Rattus norvegicus: one gene and its partners. The main gene of each other region encodes a partner of the protein of the gene in region 3 in a complex. Links are inferred from orthologs where the notes say so. Each region holds a gene or a part of one and is shown on either strand. Other genes may lie near its edges. The genes, in order: Fgfr3, Fgfr1, Fgf23 and Fgfr4.

Region 1 (4,184 bases), on a different chromosome or scaffold from region 3:
AGGGGGTGGACACAGGGGTCAGAGCTCACATTCTGGTTCATTTACTGATAACTAATCTGCCAATAGATTAGGGGAGAATGTCTGCTATGACCCCCTGGGGTGGCATCCTGGGAGAGGGACTGTGGGCAGCTGCCTGGGGGTGTCATGGGAACCCAGGACTGGATTCTAGCCAGTCTGCAGGGAGGGGTGCTTGGCTAGAGCAGGAGTAACAGTCGGTAGAGCTGCCCAGCTCTTGAGTGGACACGGGATTGCATGAGGGCTCTGGGGGCAGGGCCCTGCTCAGCTCTCTGGGAAAGATAAGAGCGATCAGTGAGCCAGTGAAGTGTTTGCATGGCCCACTTGCCTTTTTTTTTTTTTTTTTTTTTTTTTTTTTTTTTTTTTTTGACAGTGTAAAGTCCCTCGAGTCACACACAGCCAGACTGGGCAGAAGCACTGAGCCAAGACCTCAGGTATCTGGCTCCCATAGGCCTCATCAGACCTTGTGGAGTTTGAAAATGAGACAAGGCTCCCTGCTTTGGGAGGGTAGATACAGAGGCCATCAGTCACAGGGTGGTGTTGGTTGCTGTCACAGAAGTTCTGCCAGGCAGGACCTATAGCTCGCCAGCACGATAGGGTGACCAGGCTGATCCTCCAGGGACCAGCTGTCAGTGTGACACTCTCCAGATGGAATGTGTCCCCAAGATGGGTGTGCTGTGCTAGGGCATCTTTAGGCTAGAGTTCAGGCAGCCCTGGGGCAGGGCAGGCTCCCCTACTTTGTATCCTCAGCTCTTCTTGTTATTCTGAGGCTGGGTAAGTTTCTTCCAAACCTATGTGTTCTTGGGGGAAGCGTGGCTATCATTCCTGAGAAGGATGCGGGCCACTGGTTGGTTTGATAAATACAGCAGCATGTCCTCCTTTTCTAGGGTGCAATCCCTGTGTCTTCCATCACATAAACTCTGCCCCATCCTTCACTGAAAGGTCTCTTCACACGTATTTGTCTTCCCAGAATACTGTCGGGGCTCTGCATCTAAGCATTTAGCGTTCTTTGCCCAGGGTTCAGCTCAGGTGCCGGTTCACTGTGAAGATGCCCTAACACCTGGACCCCCACCGAGGTCAACCCTCTGAGCCCCTGAGCACAGCATTATTGGAGAAGCGTGCTGGTAGACAGTCCTGAGCTCCGCATTGCTTCGAGGGGTCGAGTGTGCGACCCTGGCCTCGCCCGCTCCGCCCCAGCTGGGCTCCCACGCCCTCCGGGACCGCCCGGCGCCCCCGCCTGACCACGCCTCTTCGGATCCCCCGCCCCTTGGCCGCCGGGGAAGGGGAGTGTTCGGGGCGTGGCGGGAGCAGCCCCCCCCCCCCCGCTGCTGCGCGCCGGGCAGCCCCAGTTCAGTGAGCTGTGGCAGCGGGGGTGGCGGGAGCAGCTGGCGCCGTGCGGTCCGCTCCGGCGAGGGGACTCACCGGTGGGGTGGGCGGCCGGCCACTGGGACAGAGGAGAGCCTGGAAGAGCCGGCCGAGAGCCGAAGCCGGAGCCGCGAGTGGTGAGCTGGGCTCTAGCGGCGGCCGCCAGGTTGGTGTGAAGGACTCCGCTGGCGCTCGGAGGGGCCGGGCGGGCTCAGAAGCAGTCAGGGGGTGCGATGGGGTGGAAGTGGAGCAGTCTGTAAGTGCGGGGAGGCCAGGCAAGGCTCGGGCTTCCCGCTCTGGAAAGTTTGCGGCTACTGCGGCCGTCCTGGGAGGGCTCTGCGGCAACCAGGGAGGGAAGGAGGAGGGAGGAACCGCGGCTGGGAGGAGGCGGCCGGCGCCAGGCAGCCCGGGAGAGCTAGGAGTCGGCGGGCGGGCGGGCCGGGCTGCCGGGGTCCCGGCTCAGGAGCGAGGCCGCGCTTCCCCGCTGCCCTCCGGAGTAACTCAGTGTTCTTCTCCTGTAGTCTCCGCAGCGGCGCCGGAGCCGGGTGTGGGGGGTTGCAGCATGCCCGCGCGCATCGCTTGAGGACGCCACGGCCCCAGCTCCGGAGCCATGGTAGTCCCGGCCTGCGTGCTAGTGTTCTGCGTGGCGGTCGTGGCTGGAGTTACTTCCGAGCCTCCCGGTCCAGAGCAGCGAGTTGGTCGGAGAGCGGCAGGTAAGGACGGACCCAAGCTGTTTTTCCGGTAACCGGCCCTGGACTCTAGGGGTTTTGGCATCAGCGAACAGCCCTTGGGTGAGGAAGGGGCATTGGGTTGAGTAGCACCACAGGGGCCAGTGCGCCTGGGTTTTGTTCCCCGGCCTGCAGATAGCTGTCAGCTCGGACGCGGCAGTTTATGGGGGTGTCTGTAGGCTGAGAGCCACCACCCAAGTGCGAGGCGTCACGGGGAGCGGTGCGCCGTGGCGGTGGTCCCAGGCCGAGGTGCGTCGGGAAGGCGCGCAAGCTGACTTCCCACGATGCCTATTGTTGCTTCTCGGATTTGAGAGGACGAAAAGTGCCTGGTTATTGGTTCCGCCATCCTCCCGGAATAGTTCTTGCTCTGCTTCTGCTAAAGGAAGGCTCGACATTGCGGAGTGGATAGTAGTATCTCAGCCAAAGCTCAGCTCTCAGTGTCTCGCATGACAAGGTGACAGCTTCAGAGCCGCCGCTCCCCTCTTATCCCGTACGCTGCCTGAGGGGTCGGTTCCCAGGGGCGCGCACGGACCGCCCTGCAGGCCGCACGCTGGGAGATGAGGGGCGGTTGTCCCAAGATCTTGGCACCGCCTAGATAGTCCTCTGGCCGCCAAAGTCCGATGGGACACTGAGTGCCCTCAAACGGGGCTGGAGGCCAAGGATACGAAAAGGAGCCACGGTCCGCTCTGCGTCCCGCGGCTGCCCGGAGGTGCGACGCGCGCGGCCCCCGGCTGTGCCCGGTGGCAGCGTGGCAAAGCAGAGCAGCGGTCTGGCGGGAGGCCGCGCGAAGGGAGGCTTTCGCTCGGTAAGCTGTTGCCCCACCCGAGCTGAGGCCCGAACAGCCGCTCCTTTGTACCTCGGCGGCCACAGACCGCGCATTGATGGCGGCGTTGCCTCTCGGGGAGGTGCGAGTGCGGCGGGCGCAGCGGGAGGAGGCAGATGGCGGTGTGCCCCTCCCGCGCCCCCGCGCCCCTCTCTCCAGCGGCTGGAGCCTCCTGGAACAATGTCATTTTTTTTCCTTTCTTTCTTTCTTTCTTTCTTTCTTTCTTTCTTTCTTTCTTTCTTTCTTTCTTTCTTTCTTTCTTTCTTTCTTTCTTTCTTTCTTTTTTTTTTTTTTATGAATGAAAGTGGGCCGGGAGTTTGAATGTGCGTGTCTTTCAGCGGCGTGACAGAGGCGGTCGGGAGGTCAGCGCGCGCTTTTAGCGCCTGCTACGATTGCCTAGCTTCCCGGGCGCCCAATGGCCGGCTGAGGGACCACATTAGCATGTGCATTCAGATGAAGATATTACTCTTTGCGTCGGGTGTCAGTGAGCTCGGGTAGGGGCGGCGGGGCGGAGCGCACATCCTCTCTGTGCTCCAGGCAGTGACTGTGGCCTCCTGGCACGACCCTGCTGCGGGAACCGAAGCTGAGCTAGGCCTCCAGGGATCGGTGGGATGTGCGCCTGCCCTTCACTTCTGAGTTTGAGCTGGTGAGACAGGTAGGGAATTGATAGGCCAATAAACTTAATCCGGTTCCTTAACGAGATGGGCCGGGCTGTAAAAATACAAAGACTGGTGAAGTTTACAGAGGTCCGGGCTGGCGCTTTCCCTACGAACATAAATTACCAAGCTGGAGCTGGCTGGGGTCAAGGGCTGTGGGGCGGGGCTAGGTGCCAGTCTAACTTGGCCACCCTTGGTGAGGGAAGCCCTGCTGGTGTGCTTAGTTTGGAGAGAGTAACATAGGGGGTCCAGAGGTTGACCCCCAGGCCGGCTTGCAGAAGCAGGGCCTTTCTCCTCCCTTGTACCCCACCTTCCCCCGCGCTCGGAAGGCTGAACTTTGAGCCCTGCTGGCCCTCCCGGTGGTTCATTAACCTGGGCTGATCTTAGACCCTGAAGCTTTAGATCTTATATCGAGCCTAGAATCACCTTGTCCCCCCCAGGTCCCAGGTTCCACTTGGGATCTGGAAACCCCCCGCCCCCCCCCCGCTTTTTTTTTCAGTAGCACCTAAAAGGAAAACGAGTTACCCGGGTTAGGGGGTAGATGATGTCTTGGGGAGAGGTGACCTGCCAGGTTGAAAATTTGCTGAGTTGTGAACA
Region 2 (4,088 bases), on a different chromosome or scaffold from region 3:
CCTAGTATGTCATATTCCGCCCTCCCAGGGGTCCCCAACTAGACATCACATGGCAGAGTGTCCCCCCCTCCCCATTGCCATGTATCAAATCTGAGGCATGGACCACCTAGTCAGGTTTGGAGTGTGCTGGAATCAAAGCTCCGTCTTCTAGCTAAGCTGCAACCCCAGCCCATTTGTTTAATTTGTTCAAGACAGGGTCTGTAAGCACAGGTTGTCTTCTCAGTTCTTATGCGGCCAACGGTGGTGATTTTAAGCCTCTGATCCTCCACCTTCCTAGCACTAGCTTTGCAGGTGTGCATCGTCACTTTTGACCTATTCGGTGCTAGAAACCGAGCTCCTGAAACTATGTAAAGACCCTACTAACTGTCTCATACTTGTTAGTGTGTTTCACAGAAATATCGGGATTCCTCGTGTCCAAGTAGGACTGGAATATTTGTATATTTCAACATTCTCGACGTGATTCATGTCCACTGGACCTGTTGGATTAAAGAACCACAGATTAACTGCTCTGTGAATGGATCTGGTGGGAAGGGCATTTCAGCGATTTTTCCTTGAGGTTCAGAGTATAACATGGGGGCTCTGGGTTGACTCTGATTAATTCCTAAGGCGAAAAAAACAAAACAAGCAAGCAAGTAAACAACCCTAACCCGAAAAACAAAACAAAACAAAACCAAACCCCTCCTCTCCTCGCTTGCTTCCTGAAAGCTAATGATTTCTGAGGCTACAACGAGCAGCACTGTAGAATTCACAGGGTCCATTCCGGAGTGAACCACAAAACCTAAATTATGTGGCTGGGGAAAGTTGAGATCCAAGGAAAAGGTCTGAGGGGGAAAGTTGACCGATCCATCAATAAAAACAGTTTGTATTTATTGTGAACTATATGAGGGTCCGATTTTTTCCTCCACTTTACTGTATTTTTCCTGTATTATTATCTCCCTTTTACATTACAGGAAAACAGATTCAGAGCACGAAAATCATACCCCAAGGCACACAGATAACCAAAGACCAAGTTGCCAAGTACAGCCTCAAAACTATAGCCAGGCCCCCGCCCCTCCCCGCCCTCCGCTTCGGTCCCCAAATTGCTGATCTACCCACAGCCTGAAATTCGGGCGCCCTCCAGGCGAAACTCAAGTCAGACCTGACTGTAGAACAGTTCTGTTCGCTCCGGGCTTCTCCCGGGCTGCGACTTGAGAACTACAAGGCCCAGCAGGCAACTGCAGGGGGAGGAGGAGGAGGTGGGACTAGCGCCGGGTGGGAGTGAGAGAGCGAGCCCTCGCGCCTCGCCGGCGCACAGCGCTCGGAGCGCTCCTGCGGGAACCTTTGCGGGGCTCTCGGCAGCCGGTGGCGCCGAACGCGAGCCGGAACGCCGGTGCAGCCGCTGCGTGCCGAGGATCCGGGCTGCGCAGGGAACGGGGCCGCAACGTCCGGACTGGACGGAGACTGTGCTTAGCGCATTGCGGCGACCTCGCCTTTCCCGGCCGCGAGCGCGCGCCGCAGCTGGAAAAGCAGCGGAGACCGAGGACTTTTCTCAGGTCCCAGAGGCGCACCACAGCCGTGCTGCAGTCAATGCCCGCCGTAGCCCTCGGAGGGGCGATGGAACTCGGGCTACCAGAAGCCTGAGACGACGCCGCCGCCGCGTACTGGAGAGCGGGGGGCGCACGATCTGGGGACCCCCGGCGGCGGACCCGAGCCCTCCCCCCCGCCCCGCCTCCGGGGCACCAGCTTCGGCTCCATTGTTCCCGCCCGGGCTGGAGGCGCCCGGCTCCGAGTGCCGCCGGGAGTCGTGCCTCGGCCGCGGAGCTCTCGAGACCCCACCAGGACCTGAACGGATCCCAGGGACGAGCTGCTGGAGCGCAAGACACAGACACCCGCCGCGCCACGGCGAGCTCTCCAGAGGCGGGACCGCAGCGCCAAGTGAGGTAAGAGTCGCCGGCGCCCGCAGAGCCGGCTGGCTGGGCGTCCCGAGCGGCCCCCGCGCTTCGCCAGTCGCAGCCCGCGCCTCCCTCTTCCGACCCCCCTCCCCCTGCTCCGCTCCCTCCCCGGCGCCCCTGTCCCTCCTCCCTCGGCCAGTGTCGCCGCCCGCGCCCCCTCCCCGCGCGCGGGGCCGCCGCTGCTGCCCGCTGCCCAACTTTTTCCGCCAACTCGCGCTCCGGAGCTAGCGAGGCAGCTGCGGCGCTCGAGTCCAGACCCCGACCCTCCCGGCCCAGGAGAAGGCGGCGGAAGCCGTGTGTTCCCTACTGGGGAGGAGGGCGGGAGTGGGCTGGGAGGTGGAGAGTGTGTGCATGTGAGTGTGTGTGTGTGCGTGTGTGTGTGTGTGTGTGTGTGTGTGTGTACACACGCATCATCTTTTGGTCTTCTTGAGGATTCATCCTGATTCAGCCGGTGGCTTTGGGCTCAACACCCCACATCTGGGATCTTTTCAAGTGTTTTTCCACCTCCCGGCAAGTCTGGGGTCCAGGTTGGGGGGTTGAGGAGGAAAGGAAGTGGCGGGGAAGGCTAGCTTGTCTTGGAATAGGTTTGAAGGAGGTCTCGTCACCAAATGGCTGAATCGGTTTTAGCGGAGGAGAGTGAGCAAAGATTCCCCCCTTTTGAGGGGTGGTGGTGGTGATGTTCTATTTTGTCTTAGATCTAGAGGACTCTTGAAGGTGTCTGGAGAAGGGGAGGGGGCCCTCGGGGTCTGACCGTTCTAGGAAGTGGAGGAAGAGAGGAGAGCTTGTCCGGTGTGGAACCCTCCTCCGCCCGCTTGTTGCTTCTCTGGCCCAGACCCCCTCTCCGCGCTTCCTGCACCTCCTCCTGTGGTGTCTTCGGCGCGGTAAGACAACCTACTATTCATATTTTTGGAGGAATGTGCTCACTTTTTTTTTAAATATATAGATGGGGTTTGTAATAGACATTTACCCCCAGTGAGGCAGCTGGACACCTTGGGAGTACAGGAGGGAGTTCTCCTTTTCTGGGCCTAGAAGCTATTAACTCATTTGCAAAGCATTTCGACGGCGTTTTTTTCCCCCTACCCTACCCCCCATTTCCCAGATGTAGCTGCCGCATCTGGTTCCGTTTCACCCTACACGGGGTACACCGCAGCCACATTATTAAACATCCCTCTTCCTCCCCTCCCCCTCCTAAATTAAAACTGAGATTCTTGGACTAGTCTTTACCACCGCCGCCACTACCCCTTAAAATTTCTTGAGACATGGAGAGGAAGCTTTGGGATTGGAGGAGAAAAGAAAGTTATAGATCCGCAAGTGGTTTTGGATTCTTCCACTCTCTTGCTGGTGGCCGACGATGGGGGAGGGGGAGGTGTTTAAGAATCTTTGGACCCTCTTGAGAGCCGCTTGCTTACTAGAGGTAGCCTTTGTCGGTGGGCTGAGCCAAAATTGGCCCCGACGTGTATTGGAACCAAGTATCGCCTCTCCCTTTAATTATAGTTGGAGCGCCTGTCTCATGTGGACACAACGGGCCCACCTATCGCCACGCGTCCCAGTCCCTCTCCGGGTTCCGTCCTCCATTTGGGGAGCAGGGCGCAGCCCCTGGTACTGTAGCTGCCAGAGACACCTTATGTTTTCAGTGAATTTCCTGGGTTGCAGTCCTCAGAAGCTTAAACTGGAGTGTTTTTGCCGTTTAAACAATGACTACAGGGCCAGGGATGGAATGTCCACTCCTTTGGAAGGGGGTGGGGGGGCAACAAAGCATCCAAAAGGTCCAAAGTTAGCGGCTGGGTGGGTAGAGTGGGCTGGTGCCTCTCACCCTCTCCAGTCTTTTAAATTGAAAACACTTCTCTGGTTTCCTTCTTGGGGCGGTAGTTTTGGAGGCTGTAATGAAATCGCACTTTCTCTAGACATGGTAATTAAGGTGACTGTTTCCTTCCCAGATGTGCTCTGGTCTTCTCACCTCCGGACCATTGCTTTTTTTGGAATAGTATCTAAATTGTAGAGCCATTGCCCTGAGATGGTTGAACAGAAAGTGGCCTTCTTCCTCCCTTGGCCAGGCTCCGGGTTTCCTCTCTGGGGCTTGTTTTAAAGCTAAGTAGCTGGCCCCTGGGACCAGCCACCGTCTAGCCAATTACCCCCACGCTGGGGTGGTGCCTCTTC
Region 3 (3,556 bases):
CTAACAGCTACTCTGTGTTTGAACCTTACTCTCCTCTTAGTACTGAGCTTCATTGAGTGCCTGCTTGGATCTTTACATGCGACATTGTTTCCCAAACTGTACAAAGAATTCTGGAGGAGAGGGCTTTCTGTGTGTGTAGAAATCTATCTACCCTGGACAGATGGCATTATAGGTGCTGGGAGGTGCACCGCGGTAACAGAACAGAAATCTTTTACCTCAGGAACGTTGTAGAGGGCATTGATAAGAGATTCCTGAATCAACTTATCTTTCTTTGTTTGTATGTCAAAATTACTTGGACTACACTTTAAGCCTTTAGGTTAGGAAAACCTTGATTTATGATCTGAAGGGCCAGCCATCACCCCCAAGGGCACAGGAAATTAATCGGAGGTCATTAATAGGAGGGAGAGCTGCAAGTCACGTGGTCCATTCCACCTCACTTATTCCAAGGGAAGAAACTGAAATTGGAAGGAGTGAGGGGAGTTACCCAAGGTCATGGTCTGTAACAGAACTGAGAAGACACCAAGAACCTCTCACCCTTTCTAATGTATGAATTAGAAACATATTTGACATGGCTTTAGAACCTACAACATACTAGGGACTGTGCTCCATGCAAGAATGGGTCTTAGGCGACAGGGCAGACTAAAGGCCCAGAGCCTCATTCCAAACCGCAGCTGTGAAATCTTGAACATTCCCTAAGACTGAATGATCAAGGAATCTCTAAAGCCCTGATACAGTAAAGAGAGGGAAAGATGGCTCAGTGATTAAGCTTTTGTACATTCTTCTGTCCCAGAGTTCAGTTCCCACACACAGGCATACAATTTTAAAACTCGAATCTTAGAAAAGGAGAGACAGTCATTATAATGTGGTGACCATCACATAAAGAAACTCACCGATCCAAAAATGTTGCCGCGGAGATCCATACAAAGGAACCTTCTGGTCATGGCCCCTATTATCACTACGGAGCCAGCATCCTCTGATGTGATCATCAGGGCACCTGTAAGAGGACCTCTCAGGTCAAACTGTGCAGTTTTCCCTTCCTTGAAATGCTCTCTGAAAAGACACCTCCGAGACACCTCTCTGTAGGGGGCGGCATTACACAGCCCCTCCGTGTCTTACTGTCTCTTTCATTTCCGTGACCCCAACTCCAACACCAACACTTATGTACCTCCTGTTTCATCCTCTTACTGCACGAGTCTCGATCTCCCAATAATCCCCCATCTGTGTAGCATACAGATTGTCCTCCACCCATTGCTACCCCCTCTTTGCCTGGCTAGTATCTTTTAGTGTTTAAGGCAGCCATTGTCCCTGTCTAAGACATCTGTTTCTATGATGTTAAAATGTATGTTGAATTTTATTCAAAGACCCCACTGTAGAGAGCCTGGTTCTTCCCCACTGCATGTCTCAACCAATATGAAGCTGATCTCTCTTCCCTGCCTGTTGAAGTTGTTTAACCTTCAAGGCCAGTCGCAGCCATCTCTGAGCCTTCTTATCTCCCTAATCAAAACCGATTGCTCTTTAGCACAGTGCCCCTGCTGTTACTACAGTGTACCCCCCACCACGCTACCATATTTGCACGCCTAAAACCTTCCCCCAGAGGAGCAGGGCCCTTCCTCATGTTTAGTAGATGGGATCCAGGGATAGATAGAATTTGCTTTTTTGGACCCAGTCCTTTGTGTCTCTTCTCAGTTGGAGATGTTCTTCATAGATGCTGGTCCTGGGCATCTTCCAATGGCCCCACTTGAAAGCTTGCCTTTGACTAAGGCTTGGAGCATGCTTGTATCATTTTAGACAATGGTCAATACCTTTAAATGGGTGTTCTGTACCAAAGATAAGATTAAGCCACACTGTGCTGTAAAATGTATGGTGATCAGCAAGACTGGATATTTTCTGTTAGAAATAATTTGCTTAGATGTTTAAGGACACTTCCAACTGCCTGCTGAACCTCATTTCACAGCCCCAAGGAGCCTGCCCTGATAGGACTTTTAATTCCTCTTAAGAGAACACAGTCTGTGACTAACATGTGGTAGAGCTTCATGGGATAATTTGAAGCCCAAGGCTTCTTTCCTACCCCATGTAGACTCCAAACGAAGACTTTCAAGGGGAGTGAGCAGGCAAAGGTTACGTGTTGCCTAACTACAGAAGCTGGTACAGGCTGAAGCTGGTTGATGTGCTCAAAGGGAATGAGGGTAGGCCTGAGCCTGGGAAGATGACGGCAGAGAGGACCAATCAGGGAACTTCATTTGTTTCAGAGTTTGTGTGTGGGTTAGCATTCATGAAAACTGGCAAGAGTGGAGAGGTACCACACGTAGTCTTCCAAAATGGCATTTGGCTATGTGTCTCAGATACATGGCTGATTTTATGTAAGCCCAGACATACATAATGAAATACAGAGGAATTTATGTCCTGAGAGCTTTTTGGTTCAATCAAATGGGGGGGGGCAGGAGATTACATTTAGTGAAGTTTTCTTTTCTTTCTTTTTTTTTTGTGTGTGCCCTCTTATGTACTCTATTTTAAATTCTCAAAACAACTGTTATTTCGTTAAAATTAACATCATTATCATTTTAGCAATTGTAGAAGCATCTTTAAGAGACAAAGAAGGATTCAAACTCAGGTCAGTGACATCTTCCTGCCCTGCAGCTGTAGCCTCTAACAGAGAAGGTACTGAAATATCACGGGGACACCAAGTGTCTGTGCCCATGAGGGATGATGCCCTGTGTGGCTCCTTAAGTGCCCTGTAGCCACAGGAGTCTCACTGCCACAGCCCAGGGCAGCCTGTGGGACTGCCATAGTCTCCAGAGCATAACATAGCAGTTCCAGCCTGCTTTGCAGTGTTATCACCATCAAAATTGCTAATGGCTTCCAAGAGGCAACCTGACAGTTGACCACACCCACACCCTGACGTCATGCCAGCCTGTCTGATGATTGGAAACACTGCAGACAGTGAGCACAGTATACATGCCCTCATTCTAGGGCCAGTGGCTTCCGACGGGGAGCGCTTAGGTTTTTTTTGTTTTTTGTTTTTTGTTTTTTGTTTTTTGTTTTTGAAATCAACAAAAGTTAGCAGAGAAATTCACTTGGCCAAGCACAGGCTAAGCCACCCAGGGAAAGAGTGGGCTCCTAAGCAAAAGCGATAAGCAAGTCTCTTCTGCTATTTGCAAACTCCGTGCCTGATGGAGAATGGGAAGCTGGGCTTGCTCAGATTAGAAAAAGCTTACTGACCCTGAAGAGATCCAAGAGCCTTCTGAGCTCAGGGGAGCTTAGAGCATCTTTGGGGCAGTTCATTCCATCTTGTCAAGACCAATGACCAGAGCAGGAGTCGGACACTCAACTCTAAACCACGAATTTACTAAAGCAAAGCTTTGAAATGGGACTGTAGAAGCATTTGCCTCATTTTGTCTTCCTGAAGCTGTAATGACTTCCAGTACTGCATGCATGTGGTGTGCACACATATATGCAAACAAGACAGTCATACCGATAAAGTACAATAAACGAAAAAAATAAATGAATGAGGTCATAATTAAACCATGCTCTGCTATTTGTAATCGATTAGGAGGAA
Region 4 (4,278 bases), on a different chromosome or scaffold from region 3:
ATTACATAACGAGAGACTGTTTAAAAAAAAAAAAAAAAAAACAGAAAACAAAAACAAATAAACTTAACAGTAAAGTTTAAGGGCCAGAGAAATACGTCCCTGATTAAAGGCACTGGCTACCATTTCAGAGGATCTGGATTCAAGTCTATGACTCCAGTTCCAGGAAAATCGGCCCTCTTCTGGTATCTGCAGGCAATTAGACAAACACGCAAGCAAAGCAGAATATAAAATAAATCTTTTTAACAACAAAATTAAAACTTTTTAAAATGAACATTTAAACGTTTAAAAGTAAAGACTACAGTGGTAGAGCGCTTGCCTAGCAAGCGCAAGGTCCTGGGTTCGGTCCTCAGCTCCGAAAAAAAAAAAAGAAAAGAAAAAAAGTAAAGACTACAACTTTTTAAAAGCTAAAGTTTAAATTTTTAATTTTTAAAAAAGAGCAAGGTAGGCCCGATAGAGTAGTAAGTATTTGCTGCTCTTCCAGAGGAATCCTGGTTCAATTCCCAGCACCTACAGGCAGCTCACAACTGTCTGTAACTCCAGTTCCGGGGGATCCAACACCCTCACATGTACATACATGGAGGAAAAACACCAATGCACATAAATAAATAAATAAATAAATAAATAAATAAATAAATAAATGTTTTTAAAAAGAAAGTTCCAGCGTTTGTCTTTTACACTAGGATTTTAGAGCCTTGCTCAACTGCTAGGCTCCCTGTTTGTTTGTGGGTTTTGTTGTTGTTGTTGTTGTTGGTGGTGGTGGTGGTGGTGGTGGTGGTGGTGACAGCGGCGGTGCTTTTTGTGGTTTTGCTTTTGTTTTTATTTTCTTTTCAGACTGAGTCTCATTGAGTCGCTGTGTCACTTGTGCCTTACCCTTTTGAGTAGCTGGGATTACCAGGCTCGGCCTGAATATGTACTTTATTTATTTTAAATTATTTATATATTTAGTTGGCTTGTTGGTTGGTTGTTTTGTCTCCCACCCCCACCCCGCCCTGAGACGGGGTTTCTCTGTGTAGCCATGGCTGTCCTGGAACTCCCTATGTAGACCAGGCTGGCCTGAAACACAGAGATCCACCTGCCTCTGCCTCCCCAGTGCTGGGATTAAAGGAATGCGACGCCACCACTACCACCACCACCCCGACGGAGATGCATTTTAAATATCCTCCGAAGGTCGCTCAGGCAAAGAAGAGGTCAGATCTATCAGAGGTACTGCGATTGCACGGGAAACCAGAGAGCCTGGTGAGTTCCAAGGTGGTGTAGAGCAAAGAATAGAGCAAGTAGCAGGTCACACCTCGCAGGTTGTACCAGGGGCCCTGGAGCGGCTGAGACTGGGAAATCCAGTACCACCCGGAGCTCTTGCACTTGGGTGCCCGGCTGACTTTAGCCAGATCTCGAACCACGCCTCTCAGATCAGAACTGGTCCAGGAGGGGCGGAGCCCGAGGTGGGCGGGGCAGGAGGTGGGCAGCCCCCCGCCACGCTGTAGTTGCAGGGACATTCCTGGCTCTTCGGCCCGGGGCGGAGGAGCTCCAGGCGGGTGAGTGTGCCAGCCCTGCCGGGATCGTGACCCCCGAGCACGGGAACCGGGTGGCGGAGGAGCCAGGTGAGCCGAGCCCCTGCACAGGGAGCCGACCCTCTAACTCTGGGCAAGCCGGGCCACACACCGTACTCCGGGCCGCCTTGGGGACCGCGGCGGTGGAGCTCGGGAGCTGCCCCTTCAGTCCCGGGGACCTTGGCGCCCGCGCGGCGGGAGTGGTTGGGTGGAGGGGACGGTAAATCAGTAACCCGCAGCGCACACAGGGCCTTTTGTCCCCCTCCGTTCAAAGAGCACCCTGGTCACCGCTCTGGTTACTTATTGCCCACCGAGGCGGGGGCGATGGGCCAGCTGTCTATGCAACTCCGCATGGAGACCGTTGACGTGCACCTTCCTCCGAGGGCGACGGGATAGGGGCACTAAAATAAGAGCACTGTCGCCTTTGGGCTGGGTGACAGACGCGCTCTGGCCAAATTGATGAGGAAATTAACTCTCGCAGTCACTTGCACAGAGCACCTCTTCGTGTGAGTGCAGGACAACTAAGGGTTAGCAATCCTCAGCGGCCAGCAGAAGTGACCAGACTAAGAACTCTGTGATTGAGAGTTCAGGGCAGCGTGGGAGTGGGAATAAAACCTCCCTGGACCTGTCCACCCCAATCCAAGCTGGAGACGAAAATCGGCCCTCTCTGCTTAGCAGGGTGTGGTAGGAGTCTTTTGCCGATGAGCAGACCAAACTAAGGGTAGGGGGACAGGTCAAGGTTCTTTTTTTTTGTTTTGTTTTTTTTCCGGAGCTGGGGACCGAACCCAGGGCCTTGCGCTGGCTAGGCAAGCGCTCTACCACTGAGCTAAATCCCCAACCCCCATGTCAAGGGGGGTTTTAAAATGATAGCTAAGCTGGTCGACAAAAGGAATGAGTGACACAGAGGTACAGACAGGAAAGTAAACGTGCTGGCTTTTAGAATTTACTGAAGGGACAGACAGTGGGACTAACACTGGCGTTTAAAATGAAGGGCCTTAACGGGGGCTAGCCAGGCTGAGGCAGGAGGCTTACAAGTTGAAGACCTACTCGGTTTACAGAGTGAGTTTCAATGCCAGTCTGCCTGGCCAACTTTAGTGAGAATTTGTCTCAAAATAATAGAGAGAGAGAGAGAGAGAGAGAGAGAGAGAGAGAGAGAGAGAGAGAGAGAGAGAGGAAAAGGGCGGTCTGCAGGTCTGCAGTTAACCCTCAGGGGCTTGTAAACTAGGTAACAGGGAGAAAACAGGGCTGGAGAGATGGCTCAGTGGTTAAGAACTCTGACTGCTCTTCAGAGGTCCTGAGTTCAATTCCCAGCAACCACATGGTGGCTCACAACCATCAGGGACCAGACCAAAACAAAACAAAAAAGGCCAAACAAACAGCTGGGCGGTGAAGACCTGAGATTTGCCAAGATACCAAGCAAGAAATGACCATGACTTAACCTAAGTGGGGTAGGAAAGCTGAGAGACATTGATGAGGTCAGTGGACCAACCAAGGCTTAGGCCTGTGTCTTCCTCAGCAGTGGGCTGAGAATGGTAGAATGGGTATAATGGGCTCCCTGGGCAGGGTTCCCAGTTTGGTTAGGTACTAAAGTTGGACCAATACAGAAATTAGCACAGCCCCTGTGCAAGGACCTCATACACACTCACAAAGCCCTTGCCCAACAAAAGCAGGGTCCTAAGGGAAAGAACCCTGATCCAAAGATGCTGGTGATACCTGGTTGCTATCCAGGATAGGTAACAGCCTGTGTGTCCCTGGGACTCCACTGGTTTCCTGGTCAAGTTAAGGCTTACGCCAGAGTCTTCCTTTAGGGAAACAGACGCTCACAGCAGCATTTGGACAAGCGTGTGTATCTACTGCACAAGTAGACACTGATTAAGGTCAGACCAAGGTGCACACTCAGTATGGGGACAGTGAGAACATCTCACCAATAATGCTCTGTGTGTGTGCCATCCCTCCATGTATGGTCCCTCTTTGTCCCTGAAGCAACCTTATGATGATAACGGTTCAGAAAGGTAGGTCTTGGTGGGAAACCGGGATTTGAAATTGTTGCTACCAGACGTGTAAAATCTGTGTCAATTCCCAAGCCACCTCGACACGAAAGCGGTGGCAGAGGCTTTGCTTAGCATGCAGGGAGGTCTCAGGTTCAATCCACAACTCAGAAAAAAACAAAAACAATAAACAAAGCGGAGCGAGCTCCTACATTGTCTAAGACAGAGCCGTGAGGGTGCAAACCACCGGAAGTGTCCTCAGGATGCTTTCCTGGCTCAGAAGGAGAAAGAATGTCCTCGATTTGGGCTGCACCTCCTTTGGGCACCCACCACTGGAGGCATCCCAAGCTGGATGTGGAAATGCCAATAATACTCAAGAGCGAGGTCCCATCCGATGGCGTCCAGATGCTGAAGGCTGGCCTTGTATTAGGTTTCCCTTTTCTTCTTTGAGCCTTCAGCAATGAATTCATTTATTCAGCAGAAAATAAATGATGTGTCCAGGATAAGCCGCCATCTCTGCTTCCTCCCAAGGAAAGAATCCCGAGACTGCTCTCTCTGTGAAGGCATGCCAGGTCACAGTAGGACCCAAGACAGCAGGAAGTCCGCACACGCCCTGCAGAACCTCCTATGGGGAGGCCAGGGCTCTGCCCAGCAGTGCTGGCTCCAGTCTCTGCCCTGCTATGCCTTGTGGGGTTTGGATGAGCCTGCTGACTGCTTCCTGTCTCTGGGTCTTCATCTGCAAA

The links.
Region 1: the proteins of Fgf23 (region 3) and Fgfr3 are in contact, whole or in part, in a cryo-EM structure (PDB 7YSU), measured with the Homo sapiens proteins. The link is inferred for Rattus norvegicus from reciprocal best matches to the Homo sapiens genes FGF23 and FGFR3. Residues at the interface, in NP_065689.1 of Homo sapiens: Ser29, Leu32, Gly33, Ser34, Trp36, Tyr43, Ala45, Ala47, Arg48, Asn49, Ser50, His52, Ile75, Arg76, Ser77, Glu78, Asp79, Ala80, Gly81, Val83, Val84, His117, Gln118, Thr119, Asn122, Gly123, Tyr124, Asp125, Leu158, Ser159; in NP_000133.1 of Homo sapiens: Glu157, Arg158, Asp160, Lys161, Leu163, Leu164, Ala165, Val166, Pro167, Arg223, Asp244, Leu246, Glu247, Arg248, Ser249, Pro250, Val277, Tyr278, Ser279, Asp280, Ala281, Gln282, Pro283, His284, Ala312, Gly313, Ala314, Thr316, Thr317, Asp318.
Region 2: the proteins of Fgf23 (region 3) and Fgfr1 are in contact, whole or in part, in a cryo-EM structure (PDB 7YSH), measured with the Homo sapiens proteins. The link is inferred for Rattus norvegicus from reciprocal best matches to the Homo sapiens genes FGF23 and FGFR1. Residues at the interface, in NP_065689.1 of Homo sapiens: Leu31, Leu32, Gly33, Ser34, Trp36, Gly37, Tyr43, Ala45, Thr46, Ala47, Arg48, Asn49, Ser50, His52, His66, Ile75, Arg76, Ser77, Glu78, Asp79, Ala80, Gly81, Val83, Val84, Tyr93, Phe108, His117, Gln118, Thr119, Asn122; in NP_075598.2 of Homo sapiens: Glu159, Lys160, Glu162, Lys163, Lys164, Leu165, His166, Ala167, Val168, Pro169, Lys172, Gln244, Asp246, Val248, Glu249, Arg250, Ser251, Pro252, Val279, Tyr280, Ser281, Asp282, Pro283, Gln284, Pro285, His286, Ile287, Ala314, Gly315, Val316.
Region 4: the proteins of Fgf23 (region 3) and Fgfr4 are in contact, whole or in part, in a cryo-EM structure (PDB 7YSW), measured with the Homo sapiens proteins. The link is inferred for Rattus norvegicus from reciprocal best matches to the Homo sapiens genes FGF23 and FGFR4. Residues at the interface, in NP_065689.1 of Homo sapiens: Leu32, Gly33, Ser35, Trp36, Gly37, Tyr43, Ala45, Thr46, Ala47, Arg48, Asn49, Ser50, Ile75, Arg76, Ser77, Glu78, Asp79, Ala80, Gly81, Val83, Val84, Tyr93, His117, Gln118, Thr119, Asn122, Gly123, Tyr124, Asp125, Leu158; in NP_001341913.1 of Homo sapiens: Glu156, Lys157, Lys158, Leu159, His160, Ala161, Val162, Pro163, Asn166, Asp240, Leu242, Glu243, Arg244, Ser245, Pro246, Lys272, Val273, Tyr274, Ser275, Asp276, Ala277, Gln278, Pro279, His280, Ala308, Asp309, Ile310, Ser312, Gly336, Asn337.

The regions. Positions count from the first base shown.
Region 1 is NC_086032.1:81,224,393-81,228,576, reverse strand, and holds the start of Fgfr3 (fibroblast growth factor receptor 3 precursor), read left to right. Parts: upstream 1-1,367; 5' UTR 1,368-1,546; intron 1,547-1,901; 5' UTR 1,902-1,990; coding exon 1,991-2,093; intron 2,094-4,184.
Region 2 is NC_086034.1:73,247,056-73,251,143, reverse strand, and holds the start of Fgfr1 (fibroblast growth factor receptor 1 precursor), read left to right. Parts: upstream 1-1,288; 5' UTR 1,289-1,919; intron 1,920-2,089; exon of another isoform or gene 2,090-2,225; intron 2,226-2,294; exon of another isoform or gene 2,295-2,441; intron 2,442-2,519; exon of another isoform or gene 2,520-2,812; intron 2,813-4,088. UniProt on the Homo sapiens protein: Tyrosine-protein kinase that acts as a cell-surface receptor for fibroblast growth factors and plays an essential role in the regulation of embryonic development, cell proliferation, differentiation and migration.
Region 3 is NC_086022.1:161,603,424-161,606,979, reverse strand, and holds part of Fgf23 (fibroblast growth factor 23 precursor), read right to left. Parts: intron 995-3,556; coding exon 891-994; intron 1-890. UniProt on the Homo sapiens protein: Regulator of phosphate homeostasis. Inhibits renal tubular phosphate transport by reducing SLC34A1 levels. Up-regulates EGR1 expression in the presence of KL. Acts directly on the parathyroid to decrease PTH secretion. Regulator of vitamin-D metabolism.
Region 4 is NC_086035.1:9,478,587-9,482,864, reverse strand, and holds the start of Fgfr4 (fibroblast growth factor receptor 4 precursor), read left to right. Parts: upstream 1-1,475; 5' UTR 1,476-1,598; intron 1,599-4,278. UniProt on the Homo sapiens protein: Tyrosine-protein kinase that acts as a cell-surface receptor for fibroblast growth factors and plays a role in the regulation of cell proliferation, differentiation and migration, and in regulation of lipid metabolism, bile acid biosynthesis, glucose uptake, vitamin D metabolism and phosphate homeostasis.